5 linked regions of the Macaca mulatta genome follow. The protein of the gene in region 4 purifies or fractionates together with the protein of the main gene of each other region. This does not show direct contact. Links are inferred from orthologs where the notes say so. Each region holds a gene or a part of one and is shown on either strand. Other genes may lie near its edges. The genes, in order: THOC6, THOC7, DDX39B, NCBP3 and ALYREF.

Region 1 (6,067 bases), on a different chromosome or scaffold from region 4:
TTTTGTATTTTGAGTAGAGACGGCGTTTCATCACGTTGGTCAGGCTGCTCTCGAACTCCTGACCTCCTAATCCGCCTGCCTCAGCCTCCCAAATTGATGGGATTAAAGGCGTGAGCCACCGCGCCCGGCCGTTCATGTCTGATTTCTATATGAGATGCCGAAGAGAGCACTCGTGTCTGATTTTTTATTTCCCCACCCCACGCGCGCTGGACTAGATCACCTGCTGGGCAAGGGAGGGGTCTGCGTCCCTGCGGGGTCCTGGCAGCTCCCGCACCAGGACTTTGTTGAATGAATGACTGAACTGAGCGGGCCCCGCGGGGCGGGGCGTCCCGCAGCCAAACTCAAGGCGGGCGGAGGCGAGAGCTCCGCCCCGGAAGGCGGGGGCGGAGGCGGGGCGGCGGCCGTGGGTCCCTGCCGGCCGGCGGCGGGCGCAGACAGCGGCGGGTGCGGGACGTGCACTATGGCTCGGGGTTCGCTGCGCCGGTTGCTGCGGCTCCTCGTGCTGGGGCTCTGGCTGGCGTTGCTGCGCTCCGTGGCTGGGGAGCAAGCGCCAGGTACGCGGGACTTGGGGGTCGGAGAACCCCGATCCGGGGCTCGGGAGCCGGATTGGGTGCCTGGAGAACAGCGCGGAACTGGGGAAACAGGCGGATGTGGGTATCTGGGTTCAGGTGGCCTTCTAACAGCTCGCTCCCGGCTGTGGGAACTTCCATCACTCTCCAAGTTTCATTCACAATCCGGGCCTCAGTTTCTCCCACCGTCCAATTGGGGTTGGGGTGGGTTCTTCGGTTCCGAAAGTCCGAAAGTACTTGGAAGTGGAGAGAGAAAGTAAGTGAGGGCGGGATGTTTAGTCTAGGAAGGGGCACGCCCCCAGCCTGGTCAGTACAGGGTCTAACTAGCCCCAGTGACCGACGAGTTGGGGAGGCCGTCGAGAGGCACTAGGGTCTGTGCCCTCTATACCATGTGGGGTGCCCCCTTCCATCCGGTGACTTCAGTGCCCAGCTATGCGGGGGGAGGGACCGGGGTCGGGCCCGGTGCCCAGGAGTGAGTCACTCGCCGGCGGCAGGGGGGTTGTGGGGACCTGACCCCCCCCCACCCCCAGCGTCCCGCGCTACGCCCTCCCTCCCGGAGCTGCCGTGTCCCGGTCGGGCCGTGCGGTCACCTGTGAGGAATGCGCGGGGAGGGCGCCAGTGACTCACGTTATTCGAGCCGGCCGACCCTGACCTCAGACCCCAGAATAGCCGAGTCCCGCCCCCAGCCTCTGACCCGAGGCCCCCTCCCCAGGCACCGCCCCCTGCTCCCGCGGCAGTTCCTGGAGCGCGGACCTGGACAAGTGCATGGACTGCGCGTCTTGCAGGGCGCGACCGCACAGCGACTTCTGCCTGGGCTGTGAGTGGGGGGCAGGGCCAGTGGCCAGCGGACCCCAGACTGGGAGAGAGGGTGGCTGGTGCGGAGAGGGGGGCCGAGAGCTTTGCATCGGGGAAGTCAATCGGGAGAAGGTGGGAGTTGGAAGGTGGCCCGGGTCAGGGAGGAGGCCACGGTTGGGAGAAGGCTGAAGGCTCAGTCTTAGGGGGCGGGGCTGGCCTGGAGAGGGGCGAGGTCTGACTCCGAGTCCCGCCCCCAGGCGCTGCGGCACCTCCTGCCCCCTTCCGGCTGCTTTGGCCCATCCTTGGGGGCGCTCTGAGTCTGACCTTCGTGCTGGGGCTGCTTTCTGGCTTTCTGGTCTGGAGACGATGCCGCAGGAGAGAGAAGTTCACCAGTAAGTGCGCCCTGGCCTGCCCAGCCCTGTCAGCACTCGACCTTTTCTCTGCCCCTGACGACCCCACCTCTTATCTTGCAGCCCCCATAGAGGAGACCGGCGGAGAGGGCTGCCCAGCTGTGGCGCTGATCCAGTGACAATGTGCCCCCTGCCAGCCGGGGCTCGCCCACTCATCATTCATTCATCCATTCTAGAGCCAGTCTCTGCCTCCCAGACGCGGCAGGAGCCAAGCTCCTCCAACCACAAGGGGGGTGGGGGGCGGTGAATCACCTCTGAGGCCTGGGCCCAGGGTTCAGGGGAACCTTCCAAGGTGTCTGGTTGCCCTGCCTCTGGCCCCAGAACAGAAAGGGAGCCTCACGCTGGCTCACACAAAACAGCTGACACTGACTAAGGAACGGCAGCATTTGCACGGGGGGGGTGTCCTCCTTCCTAGAGGCCCTGGGGGCCAGGCTGACTTGGGGGGCAGACTTGACACTAGGCCCCACTCACTCAGATGTCCTGAAATTCCACCATGGGGGTCACCCTGGGGGGTTAGGGACCTATTTTTAACACTAGGGGGCTGGCCCACTAGGAGGGCTGGCCCTAAGATACCGACCCCCCCAACTCCCTAAAGAGGGGAGGAGATATTTATTTTGGGGAGAGTTTGGAGGGGAGGGAGAATTTATTAATAAAAGAATCTTTAACTTTAAATGGTTTGGAGAGGCAGTGATCCCCGACTGACTCCCCTGAGCTGGAGGGAGGGAGTGAGTCAGCCAGCCGCGGGGGCGGGGGTGAGGCTCTGACTCACACATTCTCAATGCCTGGAACTCAGCCGGCCAGGACCTGGCTGGCCCTAACAGTTTTCCAGGGAAGATCTTGAGGAGAAACCCCAGCATCCCGCACCTCTGCCCTCTCCACCATCCCCAAAAGCCCCAGGTTCTAGACTGAAGCCTTCCTTTGCTCAGCAATCTTTATTCAGTTCTTCTTGGGGGTGGGATGCCTCCCTTCCCATGCTCCCACCCCTCCCATCCCAGAGCTCCGTTGGGCTCAGTGTCCTCTGTTGAGGGAAGGTCTTGGTGCCCAGATGCCTGGTCTGCAGGAGAGGGAGGAACCTTGTCCCTTTGCAGGAGTCGCTGGTCTCTTCTGTTGTGGGGAAGAAGGAAGGTGGGAGGGGCAGTCCACCAGCACTCAGAGCTCCGTTATGTCTCCAGCTGGGGTTGCAGGGTAGGGGGGACTGGGGGTGTCCCCCAGCCTCAGCAGACGGAGGGCCTCGGGGATGAGGCTGCCAGGGTAGCGCCAGAGAAGCAGCTCAGAGCAAGGGCTTCTAGAAGAAGAAATGACTGTCAGGGCATGGGGCTAAGGCTGGCCTAGCTGAGCACCTCCCACCAGGTCCAGGTCCCCAGGGACTCCTGGGTTCCCAGCACTTTCCAAAGAGCGAAGATGAGAAACAACCCAGAGGTCAGCTAGAGCTAAAAATGGCACGATGAGGCAGGGCCTGAGGTCAGCTGCGAGGACCGCCTGTGATTCTGCAGAAGGCCTGGCCAGTGGAGGAGCCTACCTGAGTGGGGGCAGGGCTTGGGGGAAGGCCATGGGGGGGCTGCAGTAGGGGTGGTCATTGTGCAGGCTGAGTTGAGAGAAGTGGGTGGCCATGTTCTCCTCAGACAGAAATTGCTTGCGCAGAGGCTCCCTGGGGAGAGATGGGAGAGAGGCAGGCTGGGATATTGAGACAGGAGGCAGCCTGTTGGGGACCAGAGGTGACAGAGCTCTCGTTGGGAGTCCCTCCCTGCCCCCAAACTCACTGCTCCTCCTCCAGGCGCCGCTTGGTGCTCATGGGCACAGCTCCTCGGAGAGGGGAGCTGGGGAAAAAAGAGAGCCTGGTGCACCCCACCCTCTTGGCCCCTTCCCAAGGATATGCCTGCCTGAGCCTGCAGCATCAGCCAGGAGCCCCAAGCCCATTACTGTCTCAGCTGGTGCTGGTCCCCCCTCTCCTGGGCCATCCAGCAGCGTACTTCGGAAGTCTGGACCCTGAACTGCAGCCCCAATACCATCTCAGCTCACGCCTAAGCCCCACCGATTCGCCCCACCCCGTGTTCATCCTGCAGACCAGCCCTGAGCACCCAGCCAAAGCTCCTGCGGCCCTTGGTCAGGCCCACCCTGGTCCCCCACACGCACCTGGCGTCCAGGCCCCGAGTCACCCCCAAGGCGGCCCGCGGGAGGCGCTGGGCCCCACCCTGGGGGCCTCGCTCCAAGGGCTGCTGAAGGATCATTGGGTTTTGGGGTCCTGCGGGTGGGATCTGGGCGACAGGGGAGGAGTCTCTGAGGGCGTGGCCCAGCGAGGATGGGCGTGGCTTTAGGCGGGCACAGCGGCGAGGTTCTGCGCGGGCGCCGAAGAAGGGCGGCGCGTGGCGGAAGGCAGGCTTGCTCCTCGGGGTGGGGGAGGGTATCCGGCTTAGCGGGGCTGCGGTGGACACCACTTCTTAATGTCGGGGGTCTTCGCGGCGCTCACCTCGGCTCCTGGGGTTCAGGACGGTACGCAGCAGCCCCCTTCGCGCCGAAGGCAGTAGGGCGCCACGGAGAGGAACCGCTGTAGGCACGTAAGGCCTCGTGAAGTTGCGTGGCACGCGGAGCACTCTGGGACTTGTAGTTCTGGAGATGGAGCGAGCTGTGCCGCTCGCGGTACCGCTGGGTCAGGTGAGACGGACGTGGTGCGCGTTGCCTTCTGGGATTTGTAGTCCATTCATGGCTGGGACGGGGCGGGCAGGGAATTGTGCCCTTTGAGTCCTATTTTGCCTGGGCTATTTGTGGAACTCAGACGCTGACCGGGGGGCGGGAGAGTAACCCAGAAGTGCCTCAGGGGCTTAACGCAAGACAGAGAGTAGGGATTATAAATCAGTACGTTTTTCTATGTTGGGGTAGTAGAGCCACCCCTATTTTTTTTTTTTAATTTTCTAGTTCCTGCAAAGCACTTTTTTTTTTTTTGAGACGGAGTCTCACTCTGTCAACTAGGCTAGAGTGTAGTGGCACGATCTCAGCTCACTGCAACTTCCGCCTCCTGGGTTCAAGCGATTCTCCTGCCTCAGTTTCCTGAGTAGCTGGGACTACAGGCGTGTGCCACCATGCCCAGCTAATTTTGTGTTTTTAGTAGATACAGGGTTTTACCGTGTTGACCAGGCTGGTCTCGAACTCCTGACCTCAGGTGATCCTCCCGCCTCAGCCTCCCAAAGTGCTGGGATTACAGGTGTGAGTCACCATGCCTGGCCACATTTTTTTTTTTTTTTTTTTTGAGACGGAGTCTTGCTCTGTGCCCCAGGCTGGAGTGCAGTGGCGCGATCTCGGCTCACTGCAAGCTCCGCTCCCCCGGGTTCACGCCATTCTCCTGCCTCAGCCTCCCGAGTAGCTGGGACTACAGGCGCCCACCACCTCGCCAGGCTAATTTTCTTGTATTTTTAGTAGAGACGGGGTTTCACCGTGTTAGCCAGGATGGTCTCGATCTCCTGACCTCGTGATCCGCCCGTCTCGGCCTCCCAAAGTGCTGGGATTACAGGCTTGAGCCACCGCGCCCGGCCATTTTTTTTTTTGAGATGAAGTTTCACTCTTGTTGCCCAGGCTGGAGTGCAATGGCTCCATCTTGGTTCACCACAGCCTCCGCCTCCCAGATTCAAGCAGTTCTCCTGCCTCAGTCTCCCAAGTAGCTGAGATTACAGGCATGCGCCACCACTCCCAGCTCATTTTGTATTTTTAGTAGAGATGGGTTTCTCCATGTTGGTCAGGCTGGTCTGGAACTCCAGACCTCAGGTGATCCGCCCACCTCGGCCTCCCAAAGTGCTGGGATTACAGGCGTGAGCCACTGCGCCCGGCCCCACATTTTTAAATTTTTTGTTGAGACGGAGTCTCACTATTTTGACCAGGCTGCTCTCGAACTCCTGGCCTCCCCAAGCAGTGGATGACAGGCATGAGCCACCACACCCGGCTTCAGCACTGAGTGACAGCCCCATGGAAAGCTCTTGTCTATACACTAGCTCATCTAATGGTGATGGAATCTTCTGTGAGCTCCACTTGACAGTTGAGGAAGCTGGTAGGAGAGTGCTGGGTGCTTGCTCAGAGGTCCCTGAGGCATCACCTCGACTCGCCCCTTCTTCAGTGTCTTCTTGGAGCCGCCCATGGGACTGCATGGGCAAGTGCTGGCTTGGGGCCGGGCCGCCTCAAAAGAGGGCTGAGAAGTCAGGACAGTGGGAGGCCTGGCAGGTGTTGGGGGAAGCAGGAAGGAGTCTGTGGCTGGGAGGTTTCATACATCCCAGGCAGGCCTCATCCAGTTCTTCCCTGCAGACAGAG
Region 2 (5,203 bases), on a different chromosome or scaffold from region 4:
TTTTCACAGGATCAGAGTCTCACTGTGTTGCTCAGGCTGGTCTCAAACTCCCGGTCTCAAGCGATACTCCAGCCTCAGCCTCCCAAACTGTTGAGATTACAGGCATTAGCCACCACACCCAGCCTTAAATTATATGTTTATCTAACAAATCCATTACTTTTTCCCTGACCCATCTCATTCTTTTTTCCTAGTTTGCTACTACATCTTTTAAATATTTCCTATCTATTCCTTTTATCAATGCCTCTCACCAACCAAAAACACGAGCATTTGAACTTCTGTCTGTCTGGGCAGGTTATTTTGTTTCCTTCATTGTACCTGAAGATTATTTCCACTCAACAATCCAGTAGACTGCCAACTCTGTAAGGACATCTTTTCACTGCTATTACTCCAGCCCCTAGAACAATACCTGACACACGATAGTCATGCAATAACTTTCTTTTTCCTTTACTATATAAATATTTTTTATTATATGCAGTAACATAAAATATGCATAACAAAATTACCATTTTAGTTGGCCATTTTTAAGTGTACAGTTCAGTGGCATTAAATACATTTACATTTCAATAATTTTCTTTTGAATAAACAAATGAACAGTCATACTGGTTATTTGTGCTTGAAAGTTACCAAGAGCCAGATGGTAACATTGGCCTTCTTTCCTGCAGATGAAGTTATACGGAAGCGTCTCCTCATTGATGGAGATGGTGCTGGAGATGATCGGAGAATTAATCTGCTAGTGAAGAGTTTCATTAAATGGTGCAACTCTGGGTCCCAGGAAGAGGGGTATTTCATTTCACTGTTGTTTCCATACCAATGTCCTAATGTGATTTTAGGCCATATATTGAGGTCCTGTGAATAGATCAAATTTTCACTCACCTTAAATGTCCAGTGGAGTCAACTCTTAATCGAGAGTAGATTTTCTTGGCCTTTTCTTCTCTTCAAAGGCCTCCCATATGTTTATTAAAACATGGAGAAGGAGGATTGAAGGAGAAATGAAGATTAAATTCAGACTCATTAGTTTGGTTACTTTTATGATATAAGTGTTTAATAGGATAAAATATCTAAATGGAATTTTCTCCTTTGCTAATAAAAGGCTACCGCTATGTATGTATATATTAAGTTGACACGATTAACCGCGATTAGTTTTGCACCAACCTGATACACACACACACATACACATACACACACACACACACACACACACACACACGTATATCTAATTTTTTTTTTTTTTCTTTGAGACAGAGTCTCATTCTATTGCTCAGGCTGTAGTGCAATAATGGCACAATCTTGGCTCACTGCAACCTCCACCTCCCAGGTTCAAGCAGTACTGGTGCCTCAGCCTCCTGAGTAGCTGGGATTATAGGCAAGCACCACCATGCCTGACTAATTTTTGTATTTTTAGTAGAGATGGGGTTTCACCATGTTGGCCAGGCTGGTGTCAAACTCCTAGCCTTAAGTGATCTGCCCACCTTGGCTTCCCAAAATGTCAGAATTACAGACATGAGCTACCATGCTCAACTATATTTATTTATTTTTTAACATAGTAAACTTTTCCTCATTTGAATTTGCTTTCCATATAAATGATTTTATAGAGTGAAAAAATTGTGGGAACAGAACTGTGAAGTTAAAAAAACATCTTAAAGTATTTTTTAGTCTTTTAAACAAAATTCAAATAATTGTTTGAATAAAACGTGTATTGATAAGAACAGCAGTCCCATCTTTGCATTTGTAACTAAAGTAGTTAAATTCAAGAATACTACATTTGATAAAAAGAAAACTTAAGGGACAGATATTCTAAATTATTTTAAATAAGCAAATGATTCTCTCAGAACTTGGTATAATTTAATTAGCAAATATTTGCCTGCATTATAACAGTTCATTTTTGTCAATCCACAAGCATCCTTATTTTGGTTTTCTCTCTTTTTCATTAGGTATAGCCAGTACCAACGTATGCTGAGCACGCTGTCTCAATGTGAATTTTCAATGGGCAAAACTTTACTAGTATATGATATGAATCTCAGAGAAATGGAAAATTATGAAAAAATTTACAAGGAAATAGGTAAAGAATCTTAATGTTTCTATCTGTAATTTTATTTTTTATGGTCTAAAGGAAACAATATCTGCTAACAATTTTCTTTGATTGGTGGTAAAAGAATAATAACAATTACTGTATTAATGGAAAGAATACAGTAAATGTTAGCTATAAAAATGCATATTCTAACATGATATAGTACTTTGGGTTACAGCTGTTTTTTTAAAATACTAGTGTCTATTTTGTTACCAATAGAATTTAATTTATAAATGCATTTTAAAATTAAAAATGGATTATTGATTGTGTTACCACTATCTTTTAAAAACCTTCTCATATAGAATGTAGCATAGCTGGAGCACATGAAAAAATTGCTGAGTGCAAAAAGCAAATTCTTCAAGCAAAACGAATACGAAAAAATCGCCAAGGTAAGGGTTTTGAGGGATTTAATGTGCAAATACATTATTACTGACTACTATTTTCATGCAGTTTTTAATGTTGTGAGGTATAATCTGCAGCCTGAATCAACCTTGATTTAAAAAAAAAATCCAAATTTTAATTCCTTAGAACTATATTATTCTTTAAAATACAGAAGGAGGTCTGTGTTGAAAAGAATGTTTTTGCTGGATTATGTTGATTATCTAAGTATTTCTTTTGTTTTTCTCTTTTTTTTTCTTATCCCAGTATTTCTTAAGTATTAAATTTTTACCATCTTGGACCCTTTTGCCTAAATAATGTTATAGTTAATCAGCAGAGGCGATTTACATAAATATACTAGATTTATGGTTTGGGTTTTTAGTTTGTTTGTTTAATAGAGCTACTTTCCAAAAAATGAAATGGAAAGGAATTTAAACTCTGTGAGTTTTCATTAAGTACAAAGCAAGCAAACATTTCTAGACGGCCTACAATATCTAATAAGAAGGTTAAAGTTGAGTTTTGTTATAATCTCTTGTTTTTAAGTTAGAGTATATACTTATGTAGTTCCTAAATACTATTTCAAGACAATTTTTAATGTTAGAGGCAATGCTGTTCTTAAAATGTAAATTGAAGAAAAATAAAAATAAAAAATATAATGTGTGATCACAACTGTTACAACTTTTCACATTGATGTGAAAAACTAGAAGAAAATAGAAAATGTTAATGGTTATTTTGAAGTTGTGAGTTTTTATGGCTTAGGTTCTTTTCTCTGTTTTTGTTTTGTTTTGTTTTACATAGGGCATGTATTATTTTGTAATTCAAAAAATTTGTGTTAAAAGAATCATACTTTTATTGAATTAATATGCTCAGTTCTAAAACAATGAATGTTCACTTTTTAATGAACTAATTAAGATGAAGCTTAATTTCCTCTTTTTACAAGTTGTTTTTTTCAGTTTAAAATGTGTATGGTGAAGTTTTGGTGCCCTATTTACAGTAAGATATACCAACTTAGTATCAGTTCAAAAGTCATTTAAAAATATTTGGAGTGTTTTCGTTGGTTAATGAGGTTTTTAAGTAAATCCTGCCACTCATCACTCATCACTTCATAAGAAAGGTTAACAGAAGTTACATGACTTATCTTGGAGGTCTCAGTGGAGCAGAAAGTAGAACCTGAATTTTAAGTTATTTGCACGTTTCTGAAATCTTAACTTTTGGAATGAGTGAGAAGTGTAATTTGCTGTTGACTAACAACTCAAACTAATGGTAGGATATATTTACTGATTTTATTTTATTTTATTTTATTTTTTAGACAACTAGTGAGTAAGATCCTTCTCAGAATCAGTCTATTTGATAATCAATAATAACTTAAATTTGCTTATGCTTATGCTGACCTCTTATATTCTGTCCACGACATATAAATGGAAAAAAAGTGGGAGCTAAAACCCCTGTTTGGAACACTTTTGATGTTGTGTATCATTATAATTATAACTCAGTCAACTAAAACTGGCAATACTCATCTTTCAATGATTTCATTTCTTGATATACTAGGGAAGTGATTAGAAGAGGTTTGTGATATTATACATTTTTGTTGATATTATACATTTTTGTTTTGATAATTCATATTCAAAAAACCCTTAGTTTGATAAATATTTTTATGTCTTTCAGAATATGATGCTTTGGCAAAAGTGATTCAACACCATCCAGACAGGCATGAGACATTAAAGTAAGTGTAGAGTTTTACTTTGAAAGGAACTAACCTTTATACATAAATGCTCATAAACTACCCTAGGCATTTCATTTTTTGCAGAATAAATATGTTTCAAAAGGAGGGGTCAGATCTTCAATATTATATTTTCCCATACTTCTCTGTTAAATTTTATTTCCCTCTGACCTTACCACTTATATGTCTGAAATAAATGCATGTAATATTCATTAATAGCACAATGGACAAATAGAATATGGTCTTCATATATTAAAATACTGAATTTCAGTTAAAAACAATAAACTAGTTATGCCCTTTTAAAACACAGCTCTCAAAACATAGTGAAAAGACACATAATAAATTTTAAATTATTACTACATTCCTGAAACAAAGAATAATAACCATTTATAAAAGTTAGAACCCCCTTTCAAATATTATATACCAATACTGTATATTATTCAGAGATACAAGTATATGCATAAAAAAGAATTAGAATGATATAGTAGTTGCCTGAGTGGGAGGTAGAGGAGATAAAACAGCCCAGGATAGAGGTCTAGAGGTAAGATTCAAAGGATATTTCAGGTTAATTGGCAATGTTTTATTTCTTTTACCAAAAAAAAAAAACCCTTGAAGTTAAGCTTCACAATATGTATCATTTCTTGGGTCTTGTTATTTTATTATCTGTGTTTTTCTGTACTTTAAAAATGTATCCAAAAATGTAATTTTAATGAAAGTAAATCCATATTTAGAAGTTAAGAAGAAATCATCCCCAGCTTCAGAAGTTTCACCATAGTGGAGTGTTATAACTCCTTATAAGTCTTTTTTTTTTTTAATTTTAAAAATCCTATCTAGTAACTAAAAAGTTAGGTATTAATTGTAATCTCTTTTCCCCCATTCAGCAAAATGTAACACTGTTTTATTTCCAGGGAACTAGAGGCTCTGGGAAAAGAATTAGAGCATCTTTCACACATTAAAGAAAGTGTTGAAGATAAGGTATTTGCACATATATTTAGCCTTTGTGATCTGTCTATCTGTCTGTCTATATATCTATATAT
Region 3 (6,198 bases), on a different chromosome or scaffold from region 4:
TCCCCATCTCAAAGACAGGGATGGCAAATGTTTCATTCAGGAAAAAAAATCCAGGTTGAACAATGGGGCTGTTGGGGTAGGGCCAAGAACATTCTGCTCGAATTAACAGTATTAATGGGCCGGGTGAGGTGGCTCACGCCTGTAATCCCAGCACTTTGGGAGGCCGAGGCAGGTGGATCACCTGAGGTCATACATGGGTGAAAACCCGTCTCTACTAAAAAACTAAAAATTTGCTGGGCGTGGTAGCGGGCGCCTGTAATCCTAGCTACTTGGGAGGCTGAGGCAGGAGAATCGCTTGAACCCAGGAAGCAGAGGTTGCAGTGAGCCGAGACCACGCCATTGCACTCCAGCCTGGGCGACAGAGCGAAACTCTGTCTCAAAACAAAAAAAAAAAAAAACAGTATTAATGGAATGTAGTATAACCCTCAAGCCCTACTATTGACACTTGGGGCCGAATCCAGACCCCGTCTTCCCGCTCGGATTCAGAACACCTTCCTGACTCCCTGGCCCTAGGGCCGCAGCTACCTCGGACGGCATCCTTTTGGGAAAATACCGCCCACTAGCCCCACGACTGGGAAAGAGTCGGGCAACGCCCCCCCCCTCAGCTAGGGCCTGCCGTTTCCTAGTGCTTGCCCAGCCGCCCTCAGGTCACCTTCACTACCGGGCCAAGGACCCCGTGGGAACTCGCAGCCCTCGCCACACCGGTTCCTCGCGCATCCATGGAGTGCCTAGAGAGAAGACCTGCATGGCAAAAACCTAAACGAAGAGATGAGAGGCATGGAGAGGAGTACGACAACAGAAGAAAGATAACAGTGGGAGGAAACGTTAGTTTCCTTTATACGTTTTGTTACTGGCGGTAGCAGGGAAGTTAGAAACGGTTTTAAAACAAATTTCAGACAGGCATTTTCCAAAGGCAAGCCTGGAGCGCACGGATCTGTACAACCGCGGAAGGCCCCGTTTCCGGTCCCTTGCGCCTGCGCTCTTGCAGCCAAGAAGGCGGGAGGCTGGAGTAGAGAGAAGCCTGCAACCGGAAGTGAAGGCAGATTTCCCTCCTTCGTCGCTGTTGCTGCCGCCATACGCGCTCTGCCTTCTTAGGTAAGCTTTGGCGTTCACTACAATCCGTTGCCATCTGCGCTTCTTCGCACCCATCCCGTCACATGGGTTCCTGATACCCTTTTCACAGGCGATCGTCTGGTCTCTGGGGCCTAGTTGGTTCCCCATTTCCGTAGCTTGCATCCCTTTCGAGAGCAAAGAGCTCTTGGGGGAAGGAAGGGAAGCTAAGGGGGGGCCCAATCCAAGATGGTGTCCTCGGCGCCATTGTGTTCGTTTTGCTCCCTTCTTCCAGTAGGTTCTTTTCATATTGGAGGCCTCAGCATCAATGAGAGGCGGCGCTAGGCGTCCCTTGGTCTTGGTATTTGCGGAGGGCGGGGCTCTTATCACCTTACTTGTCCTTTCTTGAGCCCTTTCTTGGCCCACGGTGGGACTGGGAGGAGGAGCCGGTTTTTGGGCCCAGTTGGATTTTTCTCACCTTGACTCGCCCAAGTTAATTTGGAGTGCCTTACAAGTGTTTACTATTGGTGTCATTGTATGTTTCTCCAAAAGGAGTCTCACCTTCGTAGCGCAACAGTGATGTCAGACCACTTGGTAAAGATCCTGTTAAAGCCTGGGCGGGGATTGCCTTTCTCTGTCAACTATTAACTTTGTTATTGTAGGGTGGAGACATGGATTTTTTTTGTTTTTGGTGGCCGAGCCATTTGTCTTGCACCGCCCCTCCCCCCCATGCTAATTACACAAGGCTTTCTTAAACAACGGAAGAGAGGATACTGAGAAGTGGGAGGCTGAGAGCTATGGGAGGTGGACGGCGGCCATATGATGTTTTCTTTTCGAAAGATGAGCGCTTTGCGCAGTGATGACCCTCATCTATCACCCTTGACTGATGGCTGCTGAGTTAGGCATCCATAACGGTGGGATTATAATAGGGAAAGCACAGTCTTCCTTTGAGGACTTTCCAGGACTCTGCTTGTCATCTCCATTTTCCACTTTACTAAGTTATTAATCATATTTTATCTTTTATTATCTATTATATTTCCTCACTTATTTTCAGATTAAGAATTTATAAGTTGGTCTTCCCCTTCCAACTTTTCTGGTTTCCGCTACTGTGATTGCTAATCTTGTTGGGAACCTGTGTCCTAACCACTTTCGCTGGTGCTGCTTTTTCTGTTCTGTTGTATTTGCTTTTCGTTTTTATGTTGTGTATCTGTTTTTTTTTCCATGTAAAAGTTTCCTAGTTTAGGGAAAGTGGGAACTGGGAATGGAAAAGAGGTGGTGAAGGCTCTGCTCGTGACTAAGTCTTGCTTTTTTTTTTTTCCCCCTCCCCAGCTCTTCTGTTAGAAATAGTATCTTTATTTTCCTTTGCTGTTCCTCAATCCCCTACTCTTCACCCCTTGTTTTCACCTGTTTTGCGAGAACCCATCCAGATTCCCCTTCCCGTCTTCCCCTGCCGGCCCAGTTATGGCAGAGAACGATGTGGACAATGAGCTCTTGGACTATGAAGATGATGAGGTGGAGACAGCAGCTGGGGGAGATGGGGCTGAGGCCCCTGCCAAGAAGGATGTCAAGGGCTCCTATGTCTCCATCCACAGCTCTGGCTTTCGTGACTTCCTGCTCAAGCCAGAGTTGCTCCGGGCCATTGTCGACTGTGGCTTTGAGCATCCGTCAGAAGGTAAATTTTCTCTTGGGCATGTAGTGCTCATTGGGCTCTTTAAGGGTACAATAAAAAGATGTGTTTGTTGTTGCTCAGGTGGTAAAAGTTTATACTTAAGGCTAGATCAGGGTCAGGTGCAGGGGCTCACGCCTGTAATCCCAGCGCTTTGGGAGGGCAAGGCAGGAGGGGTGGTCACTTGAGCTCGAGTGCAAGAGAAGCCTGGGCAAGATAGGGAGACTCCTGTCTCTACTAAACGAAGCAGGTGAAGGTTGAGGCTTCAGTGAGCCGTGATTGCACTACTGTACACCAGCCGGGGAGACAGTGAGGAAAAAAAAAATCAGGAGATAAGTATCGAAAACGATTTTGGATAGAGGAGGATTATACAGACTTGTTCTTTCTTTCATGATAGCACCAAAGTGCTAATTATCCAAAAGTAGCTTCTAGGTCTGCCATTCATTCTTGTGACTGACTTCTTTTGTCTGCTTATTTTTAATTTTGTCATTTGACTTGTAATTTTAAATTTCCAGAAAGGTCCTGATTGGACCTGTAGTCTCCCTCTGTTGGGCCAGGCCAACTGTGGCCTCTGGAAACCTCTATGACTGGTTTAGAGATGACTGGCTTCTGGGTCAGGTACCAAGTCCTTCATTTTGTCCCGGGTTGTTGTTATGTGACCCGAAGTATGGCAACCTAAGTAGGAGAAATGTCTTTAGCAGGTATTCAGATGTCATGAATTGTTACAGATTAAGAAAAATAAGGACAGAGCCAGGAGCATTGAAGGTGAGCGGTTGGTAGATGCAAGGGGGCTGTTAGTAGGACTGGGAAGGCCTAGATCTGGAGGAGGCCAAAGCTGGGATGAATTAGGAGAGTCTGATTTTGAGGTGAATATAATTGAGCAGAGAGAGGAAAAAGGGGTCTGGAAGTTGGCAAGAACCAGGTAAATACTAGATTTTGAGAATTGAGTGGTAAGAAATGGGCTTGGCATGATGAAAAAGGTTGTAGAGTTATCTGGAGACTGAAGTCTAATTTATCTTTCCTCCCTACTTTTAGTCCAGCATGAGTGCATCCCTCAGGCCATTCTGGGAATGGATGTCCTGTGCCAGGCCAAGTCGGGCATGGGAAAGACAGCAGTGTTTGTGTTGGCCACACTGCAACAGCTGGAGCCAGTTACTGGGCAGGTATATTTGGGGAGAGTGCTGGGGAAGGGGTTTTGGTTAGGACTATAAGGGAAGGGTGTTTTTGTCCTAGCTACATGATGACCTCGGTTACCCTTGACAACCTGACAGCTGTGGGGAATGTTCTATCCAAGCATGGGGTTCGTGATTTAGATCACAGAATTGAAGTCATTTATTATCGGCCCAGGTGTGTTTTTGTCAGTCACTTCCCTAGAGGGAACGATGAAGGGCTACACTCATGGTATGTCTCGGTCTACTTCCTGCCTAAGGTGTCTGTGCTGGTGATGTGTCACACTCGGGAGTTGGCTTTTCAGATCAGCAAGGAATATGAGCGCTTCTCTAAATACATGCCCAATGTCAAGGTAAGCCGAGGTAAAGAGACCTCAGAGTGAGGGTGTGGCAAGTTGGAGGGATAAGAAACTTGTAGGCCAGTAGTCTCTTTAATTTTGGAGAAGTTTTAGTTTGCCATGGTTTAACAGTGTTAAGATCCTATGTAACGGGAGGATTCGTAATTGGGCTATGGATGATGCTTAACCGAGACCACCCTTTTTTTACTACTTTATACTGACTTTGAATCCTATCAGTTTGGTAATTTTGGGGTGTGTGGCAGAGAAAGCCAGAAACTTTAAAACAGCTTCAGGGGTGTGTGAATATTGAGGATTCTGGCCAAGTGCGCAGCGGCTTACACCTGTAATCTCAGCACTTTGGGAGGCCAAGGCATGTGGATCATTTGAGGTCAGGAGTTCGAGACCAGTGTGGCCAATGCGATGAAACCCTGTCTCTACTAAAAATGCAAAAATTAGCCGGGCGTGGTGGCACACACCTGTAGTCCTACCTACTTGGGAGGCTGAGGCAGGAGAATCGCTTGAACCCAGGAAGCAGAGGTTATAGTGAGCTGAGATTGTGCCACTACACTCCAGCCTGGGTGACAGAGTGAGACTCCCATCTCAAAAAAAAAAAATCTGATTGAAGTTAAGCATTTTTGGCAATTATCCTTCATAGGTGATGCTGTATCTCCTGTTATGCCAGAAATCGGGTTGACTTATGTTAGTTATTTTTATTTTTATTTATTTGTTTTGAGATGGAGTCTTGCTGCGTCCCCTGGGCTGTGAGTGTAGTGGTGCGATCTCAGCTCACTGCAGCCTGCACCTCCCAGGTTCAAGCGATTCTCCTGCTTCAACCTGCTGAGTGGCTGGGACTACAGTGTGCCATCATACCCGGCTAATTTTTTTTTTTTTTTTTTGGTAGTGACAGGGTTTCGCCATGTTGGCCAGGCTGGTCTCGAACTCCTGACCTCAAGTGATCCACCCACCTCGGCCTCCCAAAGTGCTGGGATTACAGGTGTGAGCCACTGTGCCTGGCCTCATTAGTGACTTTAGGTTTACCATAGGATTAGCATCGTGACAGTCTGATTCCATGGTCATTCTTTTCCCCCTTAAAACTAGAGTTTCTGGTGTTATTTGACACTGTACCAAGGCCCAGATCCCTAACCAACTATTCACCTAATGGTTTTAACATGAAGTGATAATATTTCACCCAAAGCAGTAATTTCATGGGGTTTGTATGAAGGAGTTTGAGATTCTGGGTTTATTTAGGAAAACTTAATGTTCCATGTGTTTTTTTGTGGTACTTTATACTAATCCTGGTAATTTCTTGCCGTCCTTTATTTATTTATTTTTTATTTTTTGAGATGGAGTCTCGCTCTGTCATCTAGCCTGGAGTACAATGGCTCAATCTCGCCTCACTGCAATCTCCACTTCCTGCATTCAAGCGATTCTCCTTCCTCAGCCTCCTGGCTAAGTTTTGTAGTTTTTGTATTTTAGTAGTAAATTTGTAAATATTGTATTTTAGAAGAGATGGGGTTTCACCATGTTGGCCAGGCTGGTCTTGAACGCCTGGCTTCAAGTGATCCACCTGCCTCGACTTCCCAAACTGCTGGGATTACAGGCGTGAACCACCGGGCCTGGCTTTATTTTATTTATTTATTTATTTATTTAGAGACGGAATATCACTCTTGTTGCCCAGGCTGGAGTACAATGGTGAGATCTTGGTTCACCGCAACCTCTGCCTCCCGAGTAGCTGGAGTTATAGGCGTGCGCCACCACACCTGACTCCTTTATTTTTAAAATGAGGCTTGGCCTCATAAATGAAGGAAGACGGTTAGATTAAGTCAGAAGAACTGAATTATTGTCCTGACTGCTCCGACTAGCTATGTAACTTTAGGCAGTCACCCTCAGTGTTTGGTGGGGGGACATAACATTTCTAAATTAGGTGACCTCTAGAGTTCGTTTTAGTTTTGAAACATGCTAAAAATTGGTTTAG
Region 4 (5,343 bases):
GGTGCTGTACAAGTGCAGCTGGAAAGGACAGTGGCTGAAGTACGGGGAGGGGTTCACAGGATCAGACTACAAGGGGGCCAGAGAAGGAGACTCCATCCTGCGGTGGACGCCACAAGTTCTCCTGGGTACCTGGTAACTCTCCAGAGAGGAGAGTGGGAAACAAATGAGGTATCTGCAATTACCATCAAGCAGCAAACATGGATTTAAAATCTCCTACCTATGAGACTAAGAGGGATACACAAAGTGGGTAGCCCTGTGCCCACATGTGTGGGGAGCGTCCAGGGTAAAAGCACGCCCAGCTGCCTGCCAGAGGCCTGTCCTGACTATCCATTCTCACTCCGAAACGCCAAAGAAAAGGCCTCGTCATTCAGGACACACTCAAGATGTTGCAAGATCTGAGTGACTGAGAGTGGGCTGAAGGGTTAGAGAGGCTAATAAGGCCAGTAACTCCGAGAAGTAAAATCGTCAAACCTGCCTTTCCGGGTTCTCTCTGTGTGTCTGTGAAAACTGGAGGCTACTCAAGTGTGTATTTTTCTTGGTTAGATCAAAGACCCAGTTTTGACTGCACACCACCTCCTTCCAGAATGTCTTTGCTGATCTCCAGCAAGAGACTGGTGAGTGCTGAAAGGCCATGGAACAAACGGGCCTGAGCTGCTGGTGGAAAACCAAAAGCAAAGTCTGTGAAGGGGCATATTCTAAACCCTGCAGAGGCCATGCCAGCTGGGACCCTGACCACAAGACATCTCTGCCCCATTGCAGAGACTGCTGGGATGGGAAAAGCCCCTGTCCACACCTCATGCTCGCTCTCAGTTGTCTCCTCGGCGCTTCCTCCAGCCACCTGCAATAGAAATTCACGCAGGCCAGCCCACCGCCATCACAGCTTGGGAAGAATAAACCGCCACTGAGACGCACCAACAAAGCCAGGAATTCTGGTACCAGCTCACTCAACTGCTAGATGGGAAAACTGAGGCCCAGGTCCATAGCACAGAGCCAGGGGTTGGCATCCAGGTCTCTGATTCTCAGACCCCCGCACTTCTCACTCTACCAACTCCCCAACCCCTGACCCTTCTTAAGAACCTGGCTCTCAGCCGTGTGCTTCACAGGGAAAGGAAAGCTGAGGAATCTCAGATGCCTTAAGTCTCAACTGGCGGAGAAACCAGAACCATCTCTCTCCTAGAATCCTATTAGGAAGCTGAAATATATCACAGTTATATGCTCTAATACTCTAAAGGGAGGGAGAAAAAGCAGGTTAATCAACAAAATATGGGACAATACAGTTTTTGTTGCAGCTCTCAAATCTTGCAGCCCTTTTACTTCCTTTATTAATAACAGTGTTCTGCATTCATTCGTGCCACAGTGTAATCAACTATCAATGCGACCATTAGCTCGGCCACAAGTACAGATCGCCAGGATCCAGGCTGCACTGTGTGCGGAACAGCCCAGGCAGGTGAAGAGTTGTGACATCGCAAAAAGGCCCACGGCTTACGACCAGCTCTAACTCCCATGTTCCAGCAAACCGAAGCGAAACACTGTTTCTCAAAACTGCAGAGGAATACAAAATTAAATACTACAAAACAAAAATCAGACAGCAAGAAGAAACAATCTACCTCCTCCTAATGGTAAAATAATCTGAAAGGAGCTTAAAAATAAATGAACTAAAATTTTCATAACTATTATCTTTTCTGCCAAGTTTTAGGATGTCTTCAGGTGCCACAACTTGGGGACAGAAAGAATAAATATCAATGTATCAACTTCTAGAGTGATAATAAACAACAGGACCCATCTCAGATGGATGGATTTTTTTCCTACTGGAGCCAAAAAGCAAGCTGAGCTCTATGTACAACAGACAGGCTATACAACTAGAAGCATTTAAAAATAATAAGACTCCTCTCTCTGCCTTCTTCCAAAGAATAGAATATATATTTAACAGCACAAAAGAAGACACCACTCAAGCTTCCCCTTTAGCCAACAGGAAGAACTTCCACATATAAAAATTAAAAATTTAAACTTTCAAATCATTTGTGTTTTAAACATAATACAGACTTAAAAATTCTTTAACATTAACCCATAATCCCACCCCCAGCACAAAAATCAACCCCAATTCCAGACGTCACAGTTTTTTGTTCCTAAAAATCCCACAGCACTGAACTTGATCTTCACATCAAGCTGACAGCAAGTAAGAGGCCCATGACATGAGCAATCCCCGAGGGAAGAACGGAAGCACAGTCAATGCTGCAGCTCTTATCTACCTGGGCGGCACTGGTGCACCTCTGAGGTCAGGTCGGTGAGATTCGCCCCCACACTAGGGTCCCGGAAGGGTGAGCTGGCCGCTTCCCTCCTCTTCCCCCTCGAAGGATGTCCAATAAGCACCTGGGAATTGACTTTTCTTGGGAAAAGGGTGCTGGTAACAGCTGTCAGGGCCAAGGCAATAGTGAGAAGTTCAGTTCTCTGCTCTTTGGATGAACTGTGTAAAACATTTCTTTTAAAAGACACAATGTTAAAAATATTAAGAAAAATGTCTACAAAATCTGGAGGGCTGCCTTTTTCTCAAAGGGTAAAGCCTGTGGGGTGATGGGAAAGGAATCGAGGGCCCAGAACTACAACTCTGCAGCGAAAGATAGAGACGCCCTTGAAAATGTGTCCCATTCTTAAGACGTCTTGCCGAAGTAGCAAGAGCTGAGAGGGTGACTGTGTGAGCAGGAGCGAGAGGGCGCCAGCTCCTGCGGGGGAGGTTCCTACTGCGCGCCCCACCCTGTGCAAGAAGGTCAGGTTTTAGGGCAGTTGCCATAGGCCCCAGGGGCATCAGGACTCTGCCTCTGAACCAGAGCTGCTTTCCCGACTAACTTCAATCTGGAGAGATGGTAAGTTATCTAACCGGCTCTTCTTTTGGCGAGACTGCTCTTTCTCCTTAATCAGAGCCCCCCACGCCCTTTGCAGCTCGGAGTCGTCTTCCTCAGCGCCAGGTGCCCTGTGATCCACTTTCTTCGTATTCTTTTCTTTGGTCTTGGGTGCAGATCCTAGGCGAGTCCATAAATTACCTGTTTGGATGAGATGGCATTTCACTTTCACAGTCAGCACTAAGAACCAGGGTGGTACTGAGGGGGCAGTGGCACTGCCAACACCTGCTGTGCAGGAAACGCCATCACAGTGCAGCTTTGGGTAGGTAAAATCTCATTTCCTGGGCCGCAGCCCCTGGCCTGCAAACAGAAGGGTCTGGACCCAGCAGGGGATTCTCACCGTGGGGGACAGGTCAGGTCCCTCCCTGTCACCAGGCACATCAGAATCACCTGAGAGGCTGTTTCTTCCTACTCCTGCCCTTCCCTGCTGAGATACCACCCGGTGTGCCAATCCATTCTGCCAGGAGTAGGCCATTCCCAGCTCCTTTCCAGCTTCAACATTCTACAAATCGATGGGCCTACTATACTGTAACATTTCAGAAATTCTGCCCACCATCCATTACTTTTTGAAATATATTTCATGAAAATTGAACAACAGAGAAATATGTGTTTAGAATTTGGTGGATAGCCACATTATAAGGCAATTAAAAGTTGTTTTTGTTTTCGAGACAAGGTCTTGCTCTGTTGCCCAGGCTGAAGTGCGGTGGTGCTGGCACCCACCACCACGCCCGGCTAAGTTTTGTGGTTTTTTTTTTGTTTTTTTTTTTTTTTTTTGAGACGGAGTCTTGCTCTGTCGCCCAGGCTGGAGTGCAGTGGCCGGATCTCAGCTCACTGCAAGCTCCGCCTCCCGGGTTTACGCCATTCTCCTGCCTCAGCCTCCCGAGTAGCTGGGACTACAGGCGCCCGCCACCGCGCCCGGCTAGTTTTTTGTATTTTTAGTAGAGACGGGGTTTCACCGTGTCAGCCAGGATGGTCTCGATCTCCTGACCTCGTGATCCGCCCGTCTCGGCCTCCCAAAGTGCTGGGATTACAGGCTTGAGCCACCGCGCCCGGCCAAGTTTTGTGTTTTTAGTAGAGACAGGGTTTCGCCATGTTGGTTAGGCTGGTCTCGGCCTCCCAAAGTGCTGGGATTACAGGTGTGAGCCACCGTGCTGGGCCTAAAAGTTTTATTTATAAAGTTTATAAAATGTGGCAAACAACTACGATAAAATGCTATGTGAAAAAAGTAGGACTTGTATGTGGACAAAGACCAGAATAGCTCACATGAAACTAAAAAGATTTGTGCCAAGCAGAAAGAACCAGGAGTGTGCTATTTTTTCCTATGCTCTAAGCATTCCTTACTGTTGAGATGATGCTGATGCTGATACTGATGATAACTATAATGGAAAAGGAATAATCACTTATGTTTGTCATGGGCTGTTTCTTGCCGTCTGCTCCAATACACCCATTGTCCTCTGCTCTCACTGAATCCCCATTCCCATCGGTTTTAAGTGTTACCAACCTGATTTCTTCTCCCGAGTATCGGCGTAGAGGCCTTTAATATCTTGCCTGGGAACACCGAGCCTACTATGCACATCAGAAGAGGGCTCTCTCCGAACGACTGGGTTACTACTAAAAGCCTTTTCCGGAGAATATGGTCTTTTTCCTAATCGCTGGCGTATATCTGAAAAAAGAGAAGAATTGCACCAGTGACCATGTGTGTGCTTTATGCTCAGAACCAGCCGCCTGAGACCTCTACAGGATCTGGCACTAACCCCTGCCCTGCCCCCCAAGTGAGGACACAGGACCTGACAATCAGGCTGCTACGTAGTCTTCCTTTGTAGTCAGTATGGATATCCCTAGGAAAATTCGGACATAGGGGCTGTCAGAGGAAAAATCCTCAACTGACTGCTCCAGAACTAAATTTCTGAAGAAACAACCATTTTTTTTTTAAAGCAGAATCAAGCAGACTAAATAATTTACAAAAGTTTCAGCAAACAAAAAATCCCGTGAGCTCCCGGAAAGCGGAAGGCACAATCTTTGAACATATAAGTAGTTTCCAATAAACGTATTACATTTACCCAGTAAATACAAAGAGACTGGAAAAAGCAAAGGATCCCTCAATCCCCCCAGAAATCTGCCTGTCCTCTGGGGTTCCCTCTCACAACGACAGCAACAACAGAAACACACTCATTGGCAAGGCCCTGTGCCGAGGCCTCCTCTCACTTTAGCTTCTCTCGGAGAGCAGCACCCTGGTCTCTCCGGTCACTGAGGCCTGAGCTCCTTTCCTCCAACGCTTCCTAGCACTGAGTCTTCCTTCACAAGACTTCCTGTTCTTTATCCATTCTGTCTCCACCGACCTAGTTCAGGCTTGTTACTTTTTTAACTCTCTACCCCACCCCACTCCACCCTCAAGTTATCTTTCTAAAACAGATATAAGATCAGGTTACTTCCCACGTAAAAAAAA
Region 5 (6,252 bases), about 86 Mb from region 4:
AAGGAAGCAGGCAGCTTCGGCCCTCCAGGAGTGGGGACCCCCCACCACCCCCACAACCCATGCCAGCGTCAGGCGTCCAACACCAGATGGGGCTGCACCCTCCATCCCCAACTCAGGTTCCCCCCCACCAGCTGGACAGACACCAAAGTCCTAGCCCAGGCTTGGACTCCAACAGTGGGACGAATCAAACAGTTCCAGTTCTACACACATTTCTATTTTATTATGGAAAAGGTGGAAACGCCACCTTCTCCACAACAGCAACCGGTAAAATTTATCCCAAAAATAACTCGGTACAAAACAGGTCTGTTTCAGAATTTAAAAAAAAAAAAAAAGGAAAAAAAAAAAAAAAACCTTTACATGAGTTTTTAAATCCTATTTTAAAACATAAAAGAAACAAATCCATCATTGGCCGCACAGCCCCAGCCACCGCCCACCCCCGACCAGGGAGCAAGAGGAAACGCCTGGGTCCTGTTCCACACGCGGATTTGCCGGTCTGTTTAACTGGTGTCCATCTGAAACACAGAGGAAAAAGAGGCTCGCATTCACAGAAGGCCTGCTCCCCACTGTGGCTTCGACCGGGCCCCCAGCTGGCTCCCCCGGGACTCACTCTCGCATTATAGGCGTCCAGCTGGGCATCCAGCTCCTCTGCCGAAAGCTGCTGCTTTGAATTTCTGCCGGCACCTCTGCCTCTTCCACGGGCGCCTCCACGGGTGCCCCTCCGAGTGCCTCCACCGCCACCAAAACCTCCAGCGCCACGGTTTCTAGTCATGCCACCTCTGTTTACGCTAGCAAGGAAAATGAAACCGTTCGCATAGCTGGAAGAACCCCAAGGGCGATACAGCTACACCCTAGGCCAACACCCTTCCCCAGAGGCCCCGGAAGTCACCTCTGTGCAGGTCTCCGCTGTGTATCAATCTGTGATGTGACAAGCTGAATGTTCATGGGGCGGCCTGCGGCAAAGAATACAAGAGGGCACGTTCTAATGAGAGGCTCTGAAACCAACCCAGCTGGCACCACACCCTGGTCTCCATGCAAACACTGGAAAGGGCCTCTGTGTGTCTCAAATGCCCCCGACAAGGGAAATGGCCTGGAGATACTGGTGGGAGAACAAAATGGCAAGGAAGCAACCCCACCAACACCTCCTCATCCTTCTCAGTCCAGACTGGGTGGGCTGCTTGCTGAGGTGTCAGGGTGCTCGTGGGTGGAGAGGTGTGGGTGACCTGACGAAGAAGAACCGGTACCTTTGTCTTTACGACTACAGCCCCGCACTCAGAGGTGTACTATGGCGGTTCTGAGAAGGCTTCACAGAAGTGAATCTTCCGGAAGGAGCTGAAGGAGGGGAGGGATGTAGCTTGCTGGATGGGGGTTCACAAGAGGTTGGTCCAGATGTGTGGGGCAGCATGAGAGGTGGCAGATGGAAGAGAGAGACAAAGGGGCAAATGCAAAGTGTCCTCAGCCACAGGGGTACCCCATTTTCCTACCTGGACAGGTGCCAGCCCCAAACTCCACAAGCCCCACAGTCAGCGTGGGTCTACCCCCAGACTCACCATCCAGAGGGACGCCGTTGTACTGCTTCATGGCCTTCAGGGCATCTGCCTTCCGCTCAAAGTGCACGTCTGCTGTTCCTAAGCTGCGGCCAGAGCGATCATAGTGCACAGCCGCCTTCTTCAGCGTTCCAAATTCAGCAAAGAGTTCCTGGGAGTTGCAAAGAACAGTTGTCAGAAAAGCAACAAAACTGGGTTCCTTCTGGTGGCCCAGGGACAGGCCCTGGAAGCGTGAGTTGCTTTGGGGGTGGTTCCCTGGGAGGCAGGACAGTGGTAACGGGAAATGAGGGAAGGGTGGGGCAGAAGGGACAGCAACTTCCAAGAGCACCTGGGTCTGAGGGCTCCTGCCATTGTGGGGACCTGACACGTGTACCATGATGCAGATAGAGGAAGTCGCAAAGCCCACTAGCAAGGGGCACAAAATTAAGCCACTATCCTCCTCAACGAAGGAAAATTTACAACACACCCAAGGGCTGTTCCAAGAAACGGTAAAGGCCAAGATCAAGAGCAAGAGCAAGGGAAGCAGTCCGATATCAGACCAGCTTGAAGGGCCTGTAGATTCGGGAGCCCTGACCCCAGCCCCTCCCCCAGAGGCAGATTCTGGCTCACCTTTCCCTCTCCTCCTACTCAAGCCTGCCGCAAAGTCTGAAGTCAAGCGCTGCCATGGAAACTGCCCTGACCTCAGGCAGGCTGGGAGTTGGAGAGGGAACCCAGAGTGTGGGGATACTCCGGCCGCAGGCACACAGCGGGAACTGGAGTTCACCAAAAGCGGTTTCCAGTGGATGCTAGAAACCACCTTAAAAAAAGTGTTGAGACACTGTGAGTGCTCACTGGCCCTACTCTGTCCTCCCAAGGCAAATGGCTGGGCTGTGGGCAACTGAACCCTGCCCAGCCATCTCCAAAACTGACTCCCAAAAAATCATTTCTTAACCAGAAAACAAGTTTAAATGCCATTGGGATTCAATTTTTCTTTTTTAAAAAAAGAAAAGCTTCAACCAAAGATGGGCTTGAGAATCATGTCACTGAAGGGACACGGGGGTGGGGAGTGATAAAACCGCAGCGTACAACGTCTTTATAAGACAATACTCAAGGCAGACAGAGCCAGAAAATCACACAGGCTTCCTGTGCTTCATAAGGTACATAAAAAAGATTATTTTTCTCACATTAACCCACTAAAAGGGGCACAACATTTAAAGAGCAACTGGGCTGGGTTAAACAGCCAACAACCACTCACATTTGATCAGTCTTGGTCCCTGTTAGAAACTGGAAGCCCTGGCTGGGGATGTTCACTCACAGAACCCATCTTCAGACTATCAGCAGCAGTTCCTCAGGCTCGGCTAGGCTCGCACCTGCCTGCGGACTGAGCCCGGCTTTACTAGAGCTAGGTCTGTCCTGCAGCCCTTGAGAGCTGGGAGCGCTCCCTTCGCTAAGGCGGGAAGGGGACTCAGGGCCCCCTCCCCCAAATCACGATCGGTCCTGTGCAGGGCGAACGGCTCACCGAGAAGCCCTCGTCTCTTACCTGAATATCGGCGTCTGAAACTCCAAAATCCAGATTGGACACCAGCAGTTTCCCACCCGTCTCCACGCCGGCACCACCCCCGAAGCCACTGTCGAAAAGATCGTGCTGCCACTTGTCGGGAAGTTGTTTTGGCTGAAGAAAAAAAACCGCAACAACAGCAGATCCGTGAGTCTCAGTCCAGGCCTTTCCTGGCCCTCACGGCTACTCCGGACCCTTCCTCTTCCCGGCCTGAGAGGATCCGGCCGAGACGGGGCCGCTAGCGCTCCCTCCGGCGCAGCAGCTGCCCCAGCCCGAGGCGGCACGGTCCCACCGCGGCCGCACAACTTCAGTTCCCTTCGACTAACTTCCCGCCGCCGGTGCCGCGCCCAGCGTCCCCTCCTCTCCTGCCGCCACGAGGCCCCGGCGGCCGGAACAAACAAAGAGCCGGGAAGGGTCTCAGCCTCCGAGACCGGGCCCCGAAAGAACGACCTCGCTCCCGCCCACCACCCCCTCCGCGCCCACACGCACCCTCCGGACCTCCGGGCGGCCGCTCCACCGGCCCTATCTGTCCGCCGGCCCGGGTCTCCACCGCGAGACGCCCCGGCCCCGGCTGGTCCCCTCCCGCTCTCCGGCGCGGCCGGCCTCCGCACTCACCCTGCTGTAGGGCGCCGGTCGGTTCCTGCCGCCTCCGCCGGCCGCGCCGCGGGCGATGGCCGGCCGGTTCCGGATGGGCCCGCCGCCTCGACTCACTCGCGCGGCGGCCTGCGCCCCACCGCCGCGACCGCCCTGGGAGCCGGCCCGGCCGCGGCCCCGGCCCCCGCCGCGGCCGCCTCGTTGGCTCCGGTTCAGTTTAATGATGTCGTCCAGAGACATGTCCATTTTGTCGGCCATGGCGGGCGCGGAATCGGGCATCGGCTCGAGCCCGCGCGTCAGCACGCCGGCGCGTCACTTCCGGCGCCTCGTGAGGCCTTCCGGTGCCACGGCCTCGGAGCGACTGCTGATTGGCCGCCGGCGGACGGCTGCGCGCGCGGGACGGGGTGAGGCGGGAAGGCGCGTGCGCACTGGCTCGCGGGACTCGGCGGGCGCTGCTGAGGGAGCCGGGCCGCGACTGAGGTCGTTTTTATACCTTCCCGCGCGGACGCCGGCGCTGCCAACGGAAGGGCGGGCAGGGCGGCGCGTGATTAGGTTGGCGAAGGTGCGAGGGCGCAGGGGGTGGGGCGGCAGCCGTTGGGGGCGGAGCCTGCGCGCCCCTCCCTCCCCGCACGCCCCACCCGATCGCCCTGGGCTGGGGGCGCTGGGGGCCCTGCGGGCGCGGCGGGTGCCGGGCAGCCGCTGGGAGTCCTTGTTTCCGCTCCCGCCCGGGACTGTGCGCTCGGCTCGCGGCGGGGTCCAGCGGACGCGGCCTCGGCGGGCGACAGCCGCCGCAGAAGAGCTGCGGGTTGGTTGTTTGGTCCCCACCTGCAGACCCCCGAGTCTGCACTCTCACAATTTGCTAGTCATATCCTTTACAAGTTTTCGTGCGCGGTCACGCCTGCAATCCCAGCGCTTTGCGAGGCCGAGGCAAGAGGTTCGCTTCAGCCCAGCAGTTTGAGACCAGCTGGGGCAACATAGTGAGACCCCATCTCTTAAAAAAAAATTAGTTGAGGCCGAGACGGGCGGATCACGAGGTCAGGAGATCGAGACCATCCTGGATAACACGGTGAAACCCCGTCTCTACTAAAAAATACAAAAAAATCCTAGCCGGGCGAGGTGGCGGGCGCCTGTAGTCCCAGCTACTCGGGAGGCTGAGGCAGGAGAATGGCGTAAGCCCGGGAGGCGGAGCTTGCAGTGAGCTGAGATCCGGCCACTGCACTCCAGCCTGGGCCACAGAGCGAGACTCCGTCTCAAAAAAAAAAAAAAAAAAAAAAAAATTAGTTGGGTTTGGTGGTGCACTTTTGTACTACCAGCTACTTGGGAGGCCGAGGTGGGAGGATCGCTTGAGCCCAGGAGGTCGAGGCTGCAGTGAGCCATGATGGCACCACTGCACTCCAGCCTGGGTGACAGAGCCAGACCCTGTCTCCAAAAGAAATTATATGACATATTTGCAATTTATTAATGAAAACCAATGTGCTATTTCATGGAATTTTTTTTTTTTTTTTTGGAGACAGTCTCCTTTCGCCCAGGCTAGAGTGCAGTGGGGCAGTCTTGGCTCACTGCAACCACTGCCTCCTGGGTTCAAGCGATTGTCCTGCCTCAGCCTCCCAAGTAGCTGAGACTACAGGCATGTGCCACTACACCCAGCTAATTGTTGTATTTTTAGTAGAGAAATTAGTTGTATTTTTAGTAGAGACAGGGTTTCACCATGTTGGTCAGGGTGGTCTTAAACTCCTGACTTCAGGTGATCCGCCCGCCTTGGCCTCCCAAAGTGCTGGGATTACAGGCGTGAGCCACCACACCCAGCCCACTTCATGAATTTTAAGTTGTTTTGAGATATTTGCTTTTGTTTTTGTTTTTTGAGTCAGGGCCAGCCCATTTCATGGATTTAAGTTGTTTTGAGATACTTGCTTTTGTTTTTGTGTTTTTTGAGCCAGGGTCTCCCCTTGTCACCCAGACTGGAGTGCAGTGGTGTGATCTTGGCTCACTGCAGTCTTGAACTCCTGGGCTCCAGCTATCCTCTCGCCTCAGCCTCTTAGGCAGCTGGTGCATGCCACCACAGCAGGCTTTTTTTTTTTTTTTTTTTTTTTGAGACAGTCCCACTGTGTCGCCCAGGCTGGAGTGCAGTGCTGTGATCTTGGCTCACTGCAACCTCTGCCTCCTGGGTCCAAGCGATTTTTGTGCCTCAGCCTCCCGAATAGCTGGGTGCTGGGATTATAGGTGTGCGCCACCACGCCTGGCTAATTTTGTATGTGTACGTGTGATGGAGCCTCACTCTGTTGCCCACGCTGGAATGCAATGGCATGATCTCGGCTCACTGTAACCTCTGCTTCCCAGGTTCAAGTGATTCTCCTGCCTCACCCTCCCGAGTAGCTGGGATAACAGGTGCCCACCACACCCGGCTAATTTTTTGTATTCTTAGTAGAGACAGGGTTTCAGTATGTTGGCCAGGCTGGTCTTGAACTCCTGACCTCAAGTGATCCACCTTCCTCGGCCTCCCAAAGTGCTGGGATTACAGGCATGAGCCGCCACCTGCAGCTAATATTTTTGTATTTTTGTAGAGACGGGGTTTTGTCA

The links.
Region 1: the proteins of NCBP3 (region 4) and THOC6 purify together in Homo sapiens (co-immunoprecipitation; 3 studies listed by BioGRID and IntAct, with this or other methods). This does not show direct contact. The link is inferred for Macaca mulatta from reciprocal best matches to the Homo sapiens genes NCBP3 and THOC6.
Region 2: the proteins of NCBP3 (region 4) and THOC7 purify together in Homo sapiens (co-immunoprecipitation; 3 studies listed by BioGRID and IntAct, with this or other methods). This does not show direct contact. The link is inferred for Macaca mulatta from reciprocal best matches to the Homo sapiens genes NCBP3 and THOC7.
Region 3: the proteins of NCBP3 (region 4) and DDX39B purify together in Homo sapiens (co-immunoprecipitation; 4 studies listed by BioGRID and IntAct, with this or other methods). This does not show direct contact. The link is inferred for Macaca mulatta from reciprocal best matches to the Homo sapiens genes NCBP3 and DDX39B.
Region 5: the proteins of NCBP3 (region 4) and ALYREF purify together in Homo sapiens (affinity purification with mass spectrometry; 4 studies listed by BioGRID and IntAct, with this or other methods). This does not show direct contact. The link is inferred for Macaca mulatta from reciprocal best matches to the Homo sapiens genes NCBP3 and ALYREF.

The regions. Positions count from the first base shown.
Region 1 is NC_133425.1:4,263,451-4,269,517, forward strand, and holds the start of THOC6 (THO complex subunit 6), read left to right. Parts: upstream 1-2,687; 5' UTR 2,688-2,923; coding exon of another isoform or gene 2,924-3,059; intron 3,060-3,293; coding exon of another isoform or gene 3,294-3,422; intron 3,423-3,534; coding exon of another isoform or gene 3,535-3,591; intron 3,592-3,906; 5' UTR 3,907-3,907; coding exon of another isoform or gene 3,908-4,002; 5' UTR 4,003-4,387; coding exon 4,388-4,426; intron 4,427-5,643; exon of another isoform or gene 5,644-5,913; intron 5,914-6,061; coding exon 6,062-6,067. Other genes in the region: TNFRSF12A (tumor necrosis factor receptor superfamily member 12A), read left to right, coding at 461-554, 1,282-1,386, 1,622-1,756, 1,838-1,893; HCFC1R1 (host cell factor C1 regulator 1), read right to left, coding at 2,924-3,059, 3,294-3,422, 3,535-3,591, 3,908-4,002. UniProt on the Homo sapiens protein: Component of the THO subcomplex of the TREX complex which is thought to couple mRNA transcription, processing and nuclear export, and which specifically associates with spliced mRNA and not with unspliced pre-mRNA.
Region 2 is NC_133407.1:127,393,615-127,398,817, reverse strand, and holds part of THOC7 (THO complex subunit 7), read left to right. Parts: intron 1-662; coding exon 663-780; intron 781-1,931; coding exon 1,932-2,059; intron 2,060-2,370; coding exon 2,371-2,457; intron 2,458-4,111; coding exon 4,112-4,169; intron 4,170-5,074; coding exon 5,075-5,141; intron 5,142-5,203. UniProt on the Homo sapiens protein: Component of the THO subcomplex of the TREX complex which is thought to couple mRNA transcription, processing and nuclear export, and which specifically associates with spliced mRNA and not with unspliced pre-mRNA.
Region 3 is NC_133409.1:150,788,055-150,794,252, forward strand, and holds the start of DDX39B (spliceosome RNA helicase DDX39B), read left to right. Parts: upstream 1-2,511; coding exon 2,512-2,722; intron 2,723-3,751; coding exon 3,752-3,879; intron 3,880-4,145; coding exon 4,146-4,238; intron 4,239-6,198. UniProt on the Homo sapiens protein: Involved in nuclear export of spliced and unspliced mRNA. Component of the TREX complex which is thought to couple mRNA transcription, processing and nuclear export, and specifically associates with spliced mRNA and not with unspliced pre-mRNA.
Region 4 is NC_133421.1:5,294,787-5,300,129, forward strand, and holds the end of NCBP3 (nuclear cap-binding protein subunit 3), read right to left. Parts: intron 4,561-5,343; coding exon 4,399-4,560; intron 3,039-4,398; coding exon 2,876-3,038; intron 2,412-2,875; coding exon 2,303-2,411; 3' UTR 1,278-2,302; downstream 1-1,277. UniProt on the Homo sapiens protein: Associates with NCBP1/CBP80 to form an alternative cap-binding complex (CBC) which plays a key role in mRNA export. NCBP3 serves as adapter protein linking the capped RNAs (m7GpppG-capped RNA) to NCBP1/CBP80.
Region 5 is NC_133421.1:91,550,382-91,556,633, forward strand, and holds ALYREF (THO complex subunit 4), read right to left. Parts: upstream 3,958-6,252; 5' UTR 3,955-3,957; coding exon 3,697-3,954; intron 3,229-3,696; exon of another isoform or gene 3,196-3,228; coding exon 3,064-3,195; intron 1,696-3,063; coding exon 1,548-1,695; intron 951-1,547; coding exon 887-950; intron 786-886; coding exon 608-785; intron 513-607; coding exon 498-512; 3' UTR 336-497; downstream 1-335. UniProt on the Homo sapiens protein: Functions as an mRNA export adapter; component of the transcription/export (TREX) complex which is thought to couple mRNA transcription, processing and nuclear export, and specifically associates with spliced mRNA and not with unspliced pre-mRNA.